2 linked regions of the Arabidopsis thaliana genome follow. The protein of the gene in region 2 interacts with the protein of the main gene of each other region in a biochemical or structural test. Each region holds a gene or a part of one and is shown on either strand. Other genes may lie near its edges.

Region 1 (4,604 bases), on a different chromosome or scaffold from region 2:
AATATTTGTTCGTTATTGTGATTCCATTTTTTGATTGGTTTTCCCAAAATCTGTCTAGGCCGAGCATATACTCGATCTGCAGAAGCAACTGACATTGCTTGGAAGCGAAACCCGGAGGGATATAAATGGTAACCGATCTGATGAACCCATAACAAGCACAACAACTGCAGACAAGGTAGGGACATTTTCTTTTCCTTTTTTAATCTTTTCTTTAACATTTTTCTGTGACCTGACATATTTTCTTTACGGTGAGGCAGCTTCGATCAGAGCTAGATGATGCTATTGCCAGCGAATGCCCGTTCTGTGGAGAATTAATGATCAATGAGATCACTCTGCCTTTTATTAAACCTGAGGATTCACAGTATTCTACTTCATGGGACCTCCGATCAGAGACCAACTTAGCAAACCAGAGGACCATTTCTTTGCCTGTTTGATTCATGTCAAACCGTGAATTCTTTCTTGTGTGATCTCTTCTTCAGCTAGCTTTGAAATGTGAATGTGATTTTTGGGTTCTGTATTATTGATGTAGTATTACTATTAAACATGCTTCTGGAGATACATACAATATGCTATCTCACCTACTTTTGTCTCTATATCTAAGTGTTTTTCTGAACTATTATTTCGATCTAAAAGATACTTCTGTATTCCATGATTTTACATCAGTGATGCGACTCTTCCTCTGCTTCAAAATCTTTTTCTGCAGATATTTTCTTCGCCAGAGCCTGCTTGGTCCAGCGCTTCAAGTCATAAGCTCTTTTAAAAGGCTTCTTCTCCCTGGTAAGTTTCCTCTTTGTAATGGCAATTGCAAGATCGTTTGGGAACAACGTTTGCCAGACAAAGGCGTGGAGAAGCGTGGAGACAAACAAAACGCAGACCATCGCTGTGGAAATGAAGGAAAGAGTGAGTGCTAGAGCCCGGCTCGGGTAACCAGGTACTGCCTCTGCATACTTTATTGTTGCTACGGATGCTGTTGTCATAGGAAAAGTATATGACCACCACGCCACTGAGAACCTGCAAAACCCCGTAGCCACTTAGTATCATCAACATATATCTTCAACCAAGAATATTTAAACCCGAGATGGACTTACTTAAATCCAGTGAAGAAATTGATCCGAGCAACTAGGGATATGTATAGGAAGAGTGCAATGAAGAAGCAAGTTCTTGAACATCCGTCGAATTGGCCATATATCGTGTTCCAAGCAATACTTGCTGCTGATGGGGCAGCAATGAACATAGAGTAAACAGGATGAAGCTCTTTAGGAAGAGCTTCACTGGTGGGAAGTCTCTGATAAAGTGTTACAAACACAACCAAGTAATGTGCAAAACCTACTGCCCATAGAAACTTAGCTACTTCATCCCATCCAACTTTTGAAGCTAAGATGGCCCCGACGAAATTCCCTACAACAGAAAGATGAGAAGATGGGTTTGCGACTTTGCATAGTCGCCTCTTCCCTCCCGAAAGCCATTGCCCGTAGATCTTTAGCTCGAGGAAGAAATAAGGACCCATGAAAACACACCAAATGGCGGGATGGAGGTATTTTCGGTTTGGTGAGAACATGGGAGGTACGCTAATGGCTAGGAACATGCAAACCACCCAAGGAGCGAAGAAGAAGTTGACTCGAACAGGATGAAAATACTCTCTTTTGACAGCTTCAAAGTAGAAGATGCATTTGAGTATGTAAGTGAAGGACACAGAGACTAAAACTACCAGTGAAAATAGCCATACAACTAAGTTAATCAATGGTGTGATGTGTAAAAAGTTTGTTGCAGGACTTTTCGCTAGGGCAAGCCACAAGACAGCTTGACTGCTAAGTCCCAAACAGATACCGAAGCATCCAATTGGGAACCTTAGGAGAAACGGCCATTGCTCCTCTTTTGGAAGCAGAATATCTTCATTGTCCTGCAAGAGAGTACAATTGGAACTAACTGATAATTAAGTTTTGAAGAGAGAAAGAGAAAGAAGAAGAGTTGTTACCTTGACTTCATCCAATTCAGGTCCTCTAAGAGCAGCAAAGTATCTTCCTGCAGAAACATTTTCATTTATAGAATCATCTTTGGTCTCACCATCTTCAGTTCTTAAAGAATTCTCAATGTCTCTCTCCCTTATTATAGAAGGCAATAAAGACTTTTGTTTGCTGAGCGTTGATTTAGTCCTAAACATACTAAAATCTGTTTTCCGACCATCTCCACCGTTGATGATTCCACCTGATTCAAACCCGCCAAAGCTACGACCACTCCTCGGTAAACTCTTTTTGTCATCTCTTTCTCTAGATTCTCTGTTGAGCACTGAGAAACCTGTCTCTAGCGAAACCTGTCTGCTAAAACCTCTGAATGGTCTTTGTTTCCCTCGGTTTGGTCCTCTGTTTCCAGAGAATCTCTTGTTGTTGTTGTTCTCTTGCTGTTGCAGTTCTTGCTCTGCTTCATCTTCAACTTCATTGATGTCGGCGAAAGTGGAATGAGCATTTGACTGTTTCCTCTCCATTGATCAGAGCAATTTGATAATTTGAAACACAAGAGAAGATATTTTTCTTCTAGTATGGAAAGGAAACATGTTAATGTATATAGAAAGATGCAATGGACTAAGTTAAAAAAAGCAAAGTTTGTGGTTAAGGGGCACGAGAAAGCTTGGTGAATGGTGTGAGTTAATGCGTATGTGAACCAAAACTTTCCTGGAAAGTTTCTTAGGTTTCTCGTGAAAGCTTTTCGATCCAAACTACTTGGAAAAGGTGAGAGACGATGAAAAAAAAAAAAAAAAAAAGGCCGTTCCATTAGTCACGAGATTCAAATGCAACCAAAGTCAATTTGCTCTTTTCTATACAAAACATAATTTGAGTCGTTAATTCGATTTCTGTTAGCTCCTCTTGTTTGGTTAAAACTTATAAACTTAACATATAATACTAACATTTTGGAAAAAGGGGTCGAAAGATTAAAGCAACCAAACATATGTGCAGAAATATGAATGGCATATATTCTTCTTCTTTGTAAGAGATTTTTCTATGAATTTCGTTCCAAAATGCTTTACGTTTTCCCTTTATCCAAACAAAAAACTTTGATCAATGAACTCAAAATAATACAAAAGTGATATAATAAATCATCAAATAGCCTCGCATGGATTAGGAGTCATAGGACCATAAGACAAACTCACATAAGCCGTGATTATTTTCACAACTTCTTGAATAATATGATACAATCTATAATTTATAATTTATAATGTTTGTTTATGAATCAGGTTTAAAACAATATTCGGACTGTTGATTAATAAAAAATTACAAATATAAGCTAAGCTTGAGATCGAACCCTCACACATTGAAGGTAGATTGCCACAGAGATGACCACTATACCGCCACAAGTTTTGTAAGAGTAACGCCCCTAAGTTGTTCTAAACCTTGGCATTTATAGCCTGTAGTTTTTGTTTTTATAGTAAACAAAAAGTTGTAATGTAACCTTACTTCATATAGCTCTAACAATATATGAGTGTTGTGAAATGGGAATACTTATGGGATTAGATTGTTAACCATATATATAAGGTTTGAGATCATTAGGGTGTGTTTACAAAATCTATATTCTTGCAATACCTAATGTTTTCAAAACCCACAACATTAGTGAAGAATTATTGCATGAATCTCTTAGACTTGCAAAGTAGATTCTTATTTAGCGTTCGTGGCTTTTTGGTTCGACATTATTGGAAGCAACCGGAAAGCAGGCAGACCCAGTCAGAATAGTGGTGGGTCCCACGATGTGTCGAATAATATATATCTGATCCTGAAGACAAGATCATGACCGTCGGTTTAAAACACGTAATTGGGTTCCAAGGCTTTATGAAAACCCTAGAAGTAAAAGGGAAAACCGAAAAACAGAGAGATAGGGTTCAAAGCGGTTAGGAAGATCCTTTTTCCTTAAGGAAAAGGAAATCAAGGATAAAGAAGAATTATTCTTTTCCTGGTTATAAATAAGCAAGCCCCTGTTCAACAAAACAATCACAAAAAGAATGTCAAAAAAGCAACGCTGCTTGAGGATGGAATCGCTGCCCCACGAGGTCGTAGAGCGCATCCTAGAGAAGACTTGCTGTGGATTCTCTGCTGAGATTCACGGCTGTATCGAAACAATGGAAATCATCGATCGAATCTCCATTCTTCCAACAAAGACAATTGACACAGCGTCAGCAATCAGGTGATCCAGCTCTTCTCATGGTCTCCAGAAGTCGTGAGGATTATTTTAACCCGGATTTAAAACATCTAACTACACTGGTGTTGGGTTCATCATCATCGGTCACCATCCCTACACCTTGGGAGAAGGACAAGGAGAAGGAGAAGGAGAAGGAGAAGGAGGACGAAGAATTCTTCTTAGTTTCTTTTGATAGCTGTGACGGTCTCGTTTGTCTCTACAAATACTGGAAATCTGGTTATGTGGTCAATCCCACCACTAGATGGTATCGCCCTCTTCCTCTCTCTCAATTACAACAACTCCTTATCAGCTTAGGTCGCAGTGTCTTCGAGCTTGGATACACAGTCTGTGATATTGGATTCGGTAAAGACAAAATCACGGGCACATACAAACCCGTTTGGTTATACAATTCTTTAGAAATTGGCCTTGAAAACGCTACT
Region 2 (8,261 bases):
GTAAAACATCATTTATTATCTATTCAAATATGATTCAACCAATAAAAAATAATCTGCCGAATATAAATCGCCAAAACTAATAAAAAAACTAATTAATCCCTAATTTATATTAAAAATTAAAAATATCATCTAATTTTGAACAAATTTCCTCTTAAAACATGAAATGGAAGGTTAACGTCATTTATACTAAAGGTTTATGACTAACGTTAGTATAGAGAGCCAGGTTTGTCAAATGACGTCTTATAAGCTGACTTAATATCAGAATTTATGAAAGTAACGTCGGTTTAAAAGCAACACAAAATTTTTATAGACCATTTCTACTAAATTTTTATATAATTTGTTTTTATCAAATCTAAATAAAATTTGCTGTCAACAAAAGAAATCTTTTACCTAAATTAGAAAGACAATCGACCGAAATGATGATATTTATATTGTTTGAATATACTAATTTTACATAAAGCATAACTTTGTCCTTGATATGTGGAACTGTTGTATTCAAAGCCACTTCACGAAGTCTTTATAAGCTGACTTGCTCGAAGTCCCAGTTTCCCTGAAAGAAAAAAGAAAAAAAAGGAGCAAAAACGCTTTAAGAGAAACATTATACTCAAGATTTTCAAGTGAAAGCACAACTATTTAAAATTACAATTACGAAAGGGAGAAGATCCAAGTAGGAAAAAGCAGATTACAGATTCATAAGTGAGCTAGTGAAATGATTCCCACTATAGCTCAATGACCAATCCTACTGGTGTCATATCCAAAACACATAAGCAATATTCAGAACTGTTATCTTTACATGTATGGTAAACTTGACTACAACAAACAATAACATACATGATCTAAGTGAAATTTGGTCCAGTTCATAACATCTCACTAGCAAATTTCGTATCAACTATTGTAGCTACAACACAATGGGTTGCTTTTAATAATATTTTTTTTCCCGAAGGAAGAAGACTCGGAAGCTAGACAAAGAGAATATGGATTTTAACAAGTTTTACCTGATCTATCACAAGTGCAGAAAGATCCATCATGACTTGAGCAAGATCGTTTACTGATTCAAGAACGTAGACAAAGTGTAAGCACTTGCCTAATGCAACTCTCTGACTCTACCCGTAATTCCTCTGCTCATTTTTTTTATCTTGGTCATCTGGTGCTCGTCAAACTGAAAAGAAGATTTCAGGTATAGATTGCATCAATAAAGTACATATGAGGAATGATGGCTATAAACTGAAAGAATAAAACACATATAGAAGTTGGACAATATCGCCAAAGTCATCTTCTTCAGGTCTACATCTGTTTCTCAGATCCTCAGAATCTCAGATTTATCTCTATATTCATCCCATCAGGATAGTACATTAGAGTCGTAATAAAGTTTTTGATGCTCAAAGGGTTCCTAAGGATGTTGAGAAAATGTAGATGCAAGATAAAGTTATTACTAAGTTAACAACTACTCAAATTCAAATTCCTTTGACTTTTCAGATCATTTCTGTATATTTTGAGTATTTGACAAACGCAGGAAAAAGGCAAATCAGAAGCATATAACATAAAGTGCATCAAATCAATAAGATTCTCTTAAGAGATTGGAGAATAGTACAAAGAATGCATACCTTGAGGGATTTAATACCATGCAAGCTGCACAATGGAAAGCACCAAAAATGTAAAGCCAGTCATAGGTGTCCTAGTTTCTTCTACAATGTATCCCTAAACAACTCAATAGGCAATTGACTAACGATTTGGAGTCAATAGAACATGGAATAATGCAACAACATTTCAAATCAATCTCTTTTACCTGAATCTCCTTAAAATTCGCAAAGAGATTGAAATCTCTTACCTAGAAAACTTTCATGAATCCATCATCCTAAAACCAAATCAAGAATCCTTGTTAGACTATTCAATCGAAAAACACACAAATATGTTATATTCTACCATTCAATCTTATCGATTTCGACCAATGGAAAAGAGAAACTCTCGACAGAATTAGCAAACCACATGATCGGATTGAGATGTTTTTTTACCTCATTCCAGAAGATCGATTTCATAGAAATCAGATGCGAAATTCACAAAAAGCTTCGGATAAAGTATTCATCTATCATCTTATATGCAATCTCCATAAAGTATCCAGCGTGACTTGAGATCTATCTCAAATTAATTGCTGCACAGAACGCACCCGTAAGTGCCAAGACCCATCAATTGTTATCTTCCAACGAGTCTCTTGGTGAGTCTAGGTTTCTGTAAATCTCTGGAAGAAGATTATAAACGGCAATCTTTATCATCAAGCCGCATTGTTAAGCACTGGAAGATATAAACCATCTTCCTGAACATTGTTTTGCTTGAATGTGTTCACTGGAACTCCTATTTCTGCAAGGCCAAAGATGAACAACGGCTGGATTTCTCTAATCTCTAAAACACTTATCTCCCCTTTCTAAGCAGTGTGATCACAAAGTCTCATGATTGCTATCTGTCTCGACATATTATCAATTTTACCTAACGCAACCTCTCTCATGATTTCCACTGGAGATAAAGCCTAAAAATGTCCACCAATTCTCAGTCATCATCTACTCCAAGATATTGACTTTCATTGCGAGAAGGACTGAATTCGAAGGCTGTATTGTGCACATACTTGTCCAGTTTTGTAACCATTCGATATATCTCCCATTGATATATCTCGAACTGAGATTGGGTTTGTAGACGGTGTTGAAAATCTGTTGATGGCTTGGTTGATTCATCTTTTGCCACCGTCGTTTTGAGTTTTCCATGTTTAAGAATTACTTTCCGTTGGATCTATGTAGTCTTGGTCAGTGGAATGGATACTGTTTCCCTTTTGGTTGTGTGGTGCCACATCTCATCATCGCACGAAATTCCTCAAAGTTTATTTTTCCATCCTGTAACATAGTTCCTTTCAAGGTTTCATTACAAGCACCGGTTTACTGTTTGAGATGTTGGATTATGTTAGAGAGTGCGACTTACATTGTCGGTGTCAACTTCGGATATAACTTCTTTGATGCTAGCTTCATCTCCCATTCCATATTCCTTCATGGCACTTTCCAACTCATCCCTAGTTATGTGCCTATTGGATTACCAAATAGCATTAACATTGGTGCCTCATAATAGTTACACACATTTGAATCTTAATCCTCTTGACAAAAAAAAAGAAATGATTGATTCGTACACTGAAAATGTAAGAAACTTACCCATTTTTGTCTTTATCTAAGTGTTGGAATGCTTTGTGTACGTGCTCATCGTGATGTAATTTGTATCTATGCATTGTCGCAGAGATAAACTCATAGTAGTCAATTGTTCCATTACCATCCACATCAGACTGAAAAGTTATCATCATGTGTTTCAAACTGTCTTTTTCAAGATCTTAATTGCGGAAAAGAGAAAGCAAGATGCTGAAGATAACTTACCGCTTCAACGAGTTGCTGAACTTCAGTTTCAGAGAGTCTAGATCTAAGTCTACTTAGCCCAGTTTGGAGTTGTTCATAAGTGATTGTCCCGCTTCTATTGGTATCCATATTCGCAAACAAGGTTTTAAGACCTTTGATCTCTTCTTCGGATAGACTCACCGCGCTAACCTGCAAACAGAACACACAAATTAGATCCCCAAGTTCCGGCACTAGTAGATATGAGATGTTTCAACTGATTAGAGAACACAAAGAGATGGAAAGACTATAAGCGAGATGCATAATTAGTAATAAAGAAAGATTTAATTTCATAATATTTTGAGCTACGTGATTACCTTTAGGGCTAGCTTCTTAAGCTTGTTCATTGCTCGGAATTGCTTCATACGTGATAACACAGTGCTATCAATAGGCTTTTCCGGTGCTTCTCCCCCTTTGATCCAAGGATGTTCTATAAACCATAAGGATTGCTACATATTAGTAAAGCATTACTCGGTAAACGACCATAAACTCAAGACTGGTATTCACATTCTCTTACCAAGAACTTGTGCAGCAGTGATTCGTCTCTTAGGGTCTTCGGTTAGCATCTTCTCAACAAGATCTTTCGCGCTGTCAGATATAGAAGGCCATGGCTCACGTACAAAATCAATTTTGCATTTTAGAATTTCAACGAATACTCCTTCTTCATTGTCTACAAAATAACATATGATTACAGATCAAACCTTAAGAAGAAGAAGAAAAAATCAAGAAGTTTTGTTAGCTTAAAGGTCTTTTACCGGCCCAAAAAGGAGGTACACCGCAGAGTAGGATGTATAAAATAACACCTGCACTCCAAATGTCGATTTCTTTTCCGTAACTCTGCCTTAATACTTCAGGAGCAACGTAGTAAGGACTCCCAACCACATCCTTGTAAATTTTTCCTGTAATTTTGGTTTCACAAACAGATAAACATAAAAATCAAAATAAACTAAAACGAAAACATAAACATAGTTAAATCTGTACAATAATAAGACAACATAAACCTGATTCTATTACTAAAGAGTAGAGTCCCATCTCTATGCATTGGAACATAAGTCACCAATCTAGCTCATGATTAAAGCACAAAGTGCATATTTTCGATTCGTGAAAGAATATGATCAATCTTCAATGAACAGAGAAACCCCAAAATCAATTGCTTTGAGCATAACAGTCTCATCGTTACTCGAAAACAAGTACTTGATACTAAAAGAGATTTGTGCTAGACAATCCTATAGGACCCAAAACCTATCAAACGCAATCATCAATACACTAAGAATATGATCAATCTCGAGCTCACTTTATTCAATGAACACAGAACATTTCTGATAAGCACATAACCAGAGTAAACCGGTGTCATAGAAAAGAGATGTGGTCTTGTTATGGCTCCTAAATTAATGGGATTGTATTCTCCACTCCCCACGATGTTAGTAGTAGATTTAGTGGTTATTTTCTTTCTTATTTTTGTGTATTTAAAGACTTCAATGTCAAGTTAAGGAATCAGACTTGAAAATTGACAAAACAGAGTTTATCTCTTTGGTACTTTGTGTGTTCTTGTGTTAAGACAAAACACATCTCTTTGGCTTTGAGGAGGGACCACCTATCAATTTCAAATCGGACTCCTTTATGCATAACATTCTATTCTTATTCTAGAGTATATGACATCACGATTCAGTGAACTCCTAAGATGAATGTAGATACTAAAGAGACTTGTGCAAGACAATCTATAGATTCGTACCATTAGCATACCAAATCAACCTAAGATGATTCTATAAAAGATCAATCTCTATAGCTAACCTTCTTCGATGAACGCGGACAACCCGAAATCGGTTACTTTAAGCATTGCATTCTCCTCCTTACTCGAGAACAAGAAATTCTCAGGCTTGAGATCTCGATGAATCACACCATTCAAATGACAAATCTGAACAACATCCACAATTGACTTAATGGTACCAGCAGCAGCTCTCTCAGAGTAATGACCTTGAGCTATAATCCTATCAAACAACTCTCCACCGGCACATAATTCCATTACCAAATGTACAGAATGTCTGTCTTCATAAGAACCTTTGATCTCAACAACGTTTGGTTGTCCAGACAAATGCTGCATGATCTGAATCTCTGTCTTCACATCTTCTCTACCCAGCTCACTAATTAGCTTCCTCTTGAGAATCGATTTGCAAGCATAAATGTTCCCAGTCCCAATCTCTTTGCACATATACGTAATCCCTAAACCACCTCGACCTAATTCTCTCCCCAAGCTGTAAAATTTCCTGATGTCTTCGAATGGTTTACCTAAAATCGTCTCTGGATCTCGAACTGAGATGGGTATCGATGGTGATGGGATTTGAGGTTTACGATGATCGGGGACTTGATCAACGATATGGGTTTGAACTGGAATTATCGGAATTGATCTTTCTCCGCCGCCGTCGTTTTGAGTTTTCCGGTGTTTACTGCTGAAACAACCCATTAGTAAAGGAGGAGACTTTTCGTAGACTTTCTTCTTGGATTGAAGAAGAAGATAAACTTGGAGGAATTTGATTGAGAACACATTTGTGGTTTGTATTATTGTATATGTTTGACTCGAACTGTAAGAAATTTTTGAAAGATTTGAATTTTGAGCTGGATTTTGGACTTTTTTTTCATATACCGGAAAAAATATATCGAGATCTCAGATTGGGCTGCTCTGGAGGCCTTAATTGGGCCTTAGAATTATTGATGTCATAAGAGAAAGATAACTCTTTTATATTTCTTACAAAGAGATCAGTTTATAATCTTTATTCTTTAGATTGGTTGGTTAAAAATTATGTTGAAGACAAAAAGAAAATAAGAAAATAAGTTAGGCAAAATGTCAATGGTCCAATATTAGTTTCAGAAAAATAATTAAACTTAAAACAAGTTAGGCAAAATGCCAATGATCCAATATAAAATTACTAAAATAGACTAATTAATATTTGGTAATAATAAAAAAGAATATAAAATTAAAACAGAAAAACTCATGAATTAATATCTGATAACTAACAGTTTTAAAGATAACAGTTTTATTTTAAATATTAAAACAAAATTGTCCAAGAACAAAAAAGATAAAGGAAAAACAATCTATGAAAGATTGATCTTTTTTATAACGTGAAAAATATTAAGTGATAGACTTTAAAATATTAAATTTCGAATATTGTTTTTAATTTATAAAGAATGTGGCTTTTCTTTTAAATTTGGACAAAATTGTCATTTACATATTAAATTTTTTAATCTTTATTAAAAGTAGAGAAATGTATATTTTTCAAATAAAAACTTAAAAATAAGGTAATTTTCAAAATCTAAAAAAAAAACACAATAACTCTTCTTTCATACCATGCACATGCACCGCACTGAATCATTACTCTTACGTAACCATCAACGACGCCGTGAAGTTATATGTTTACTTCCCGTCTGGGAATTGTCAAAACTCAGTTGTATACTAAACGGGTTATTGTTTCAGTCATGACAATTAGATTGTGGACTTGTGTTTGTTTCAGTTAAATCAATTTATCTCCGTGTTTTATATGCTGATTTTTGACTTTTTGGTTCAGTAGAATGGCTGATTAAGAACAAGAACAGTTCTTGATTGTCTTGTGCCGCCTATCAGCATCTAGATGGAACCATCTGATTAGTTTAGCAAATGCTTGGTCAGTGAACACGGGACATCATAACAAAGGAGCAGTTGTGCAAGATGTTCGCATGTGGTTGCCTGGTTATGTTTGTTTTTTTATATGGATGGCAACATCAATGGAGGTGGTGGGGGAACGGAGGTGGTGGGAATCATAATTTAATTGAGGTGCAGAACCAGGATTTTGTTGAGGTTTCACATGACGTTGTTGAAGAGGAAGCCCATAGGAAGAGGAAGACGTTGAGGTAGAAGTGGTTGTAGTTGAAGTTGAAGTCGCCGTAGTTGAAGTTGAGGCAGAAGTGGCTGTAGTTGAAGTTGAGCCAGAAAATTCACGTTAGAGAAAGAGGGTTGGTGCTAACTAATGGATACCATACAAACGGCAACGTCTTTTGTGAGTTTAGGCGGTCTTCTGTACAAAAGATTAGATCATCCTCAATGGTAGGATATTAATCATATTTAATGAATAAATTTTGAAATTTTGTTGTTAAGAGTTTTAGTAAGTTTTTAATTTTTTAGCAACCTCAATAGTAGTATATTAAGTTGGAGTTTTTTAAAAAATTAATTTTTAAATTTTTAAATTTTTTTGAACTTAAATTTGATCAATAGATGACATAATAATTTTTTAAACATACATGTAAACATAAAGTTTAACTATTGATTTCTCGTCGATTTGGTCGTGGACAACCAGAGTCGGTTGAGATGAGAGCTAACATCGGGAGGACGCCCGGGTCTAATAAACACAGGACCGGAGAACGCGAGACGGCCATATCGATTTTAAGGAGATCTTCTGCTTCCTACCTTCAATCGCGAGGAAAGAGAGAAAGAGGGGAGAAAAATAATTAAACGCAAAAAAATGTTTTTTTGTTTAATATTTTTCTTCCAACCAACCAAATTATTCCATGTCACCACCGCATTTTGCTTAAGAGCATCTCTTAGCTTAAACCACCTCTAAACTGAATTGATCAATTAACATATAAATTTAATGATTTATAAACCTAAAAACTCCCTAATATCCTCCCTTTAATGATGCTCTTAGACAAGGTTTTATTTGACTAGAACTGCAATTGGAATTTTCAGTTTCATCAATTTCTACTGTCTTTTGTCAATTGAATATGATGGAATTGGAAATTTCGAAAAGTTGTGAATTCTGAGCATTTTGGATTTTTTAAAATATCAGAAAAATATAATTTGAGGTCTGAGATTGG

The links.
Region 1: of the proteins of CPK23 (region 2) and OZS1, one has a biochemical effect on the other in vitro, tested with the Arabidopsis thaliana proteins (one study listed by BioGRID).

The regions. Positions count from the first base shown.
Region 1 is NC_003070.9:4,256,768-4,261,371, forward strand, and holds OZS1 (C4-dicarboxylate transporter/malic acid transport protein), read right to left. Parts: upstream 2,534-4,604; 5' UTR 2,483-2,533; coding exon 1,976-2,482; intron 1,901-1,975; coding exon 1,089-1,900; intron 1,012-1,088; coding exon 660-1,011; 3' UTR 501-659; downstream 1-500. Other genes in the region: AT1G12470 (zinc ion binding protein), read left to right, coding at 59-175, 258-434; AT1G12490 (F-box associated ubiquitination effector family protein), read left to right, coding at 4,016-4,170, 4,199-4,604. UniProt on the Arabidopsis thaliana protein: Slow, weak voltage-dependent S-type anion efflux channel involved in maintenance of anion homeostasis.
Region 2 is NC_003075.7:2,402,614-2,410,874, forward strand, and holds CPK23 (calcium-dependent protein kinase 23), read right to left. Parts: upstream 6,125-8,261; 5' UTR 5,881-6,124; coding exon 5,211-5,880; intron 4,319-5,210; coding exon 4,175-4,318; intron 4,090-4,174; coding exon 3,937-4,089; intron 3,850-3,936; coding exon 3,737-3,849; intron 3,573-3,736; coding exon 3,405-3,572; intron 3,317-3,404; coding exon 3,189-3,316; intron 3,065-3,188; coding exon 2,965-3,064; intron 2,880-2,964; coding exon of another isoform or gene 2,793-2,879; exon of another isoform or gene 2,522-2,792; coding exon 2,482-2,521; exon of another isoform or gene 2,356-2,481; coding exon 2,270-2,355; 3' UTR 2,013-2,269; exon of another isoform or gene 1,856-2,012; 3' UTR 1,605-1,855; exon of another isoform or gene 1,160-1,604; 3' UTR 531-1,159; downstream 1-530.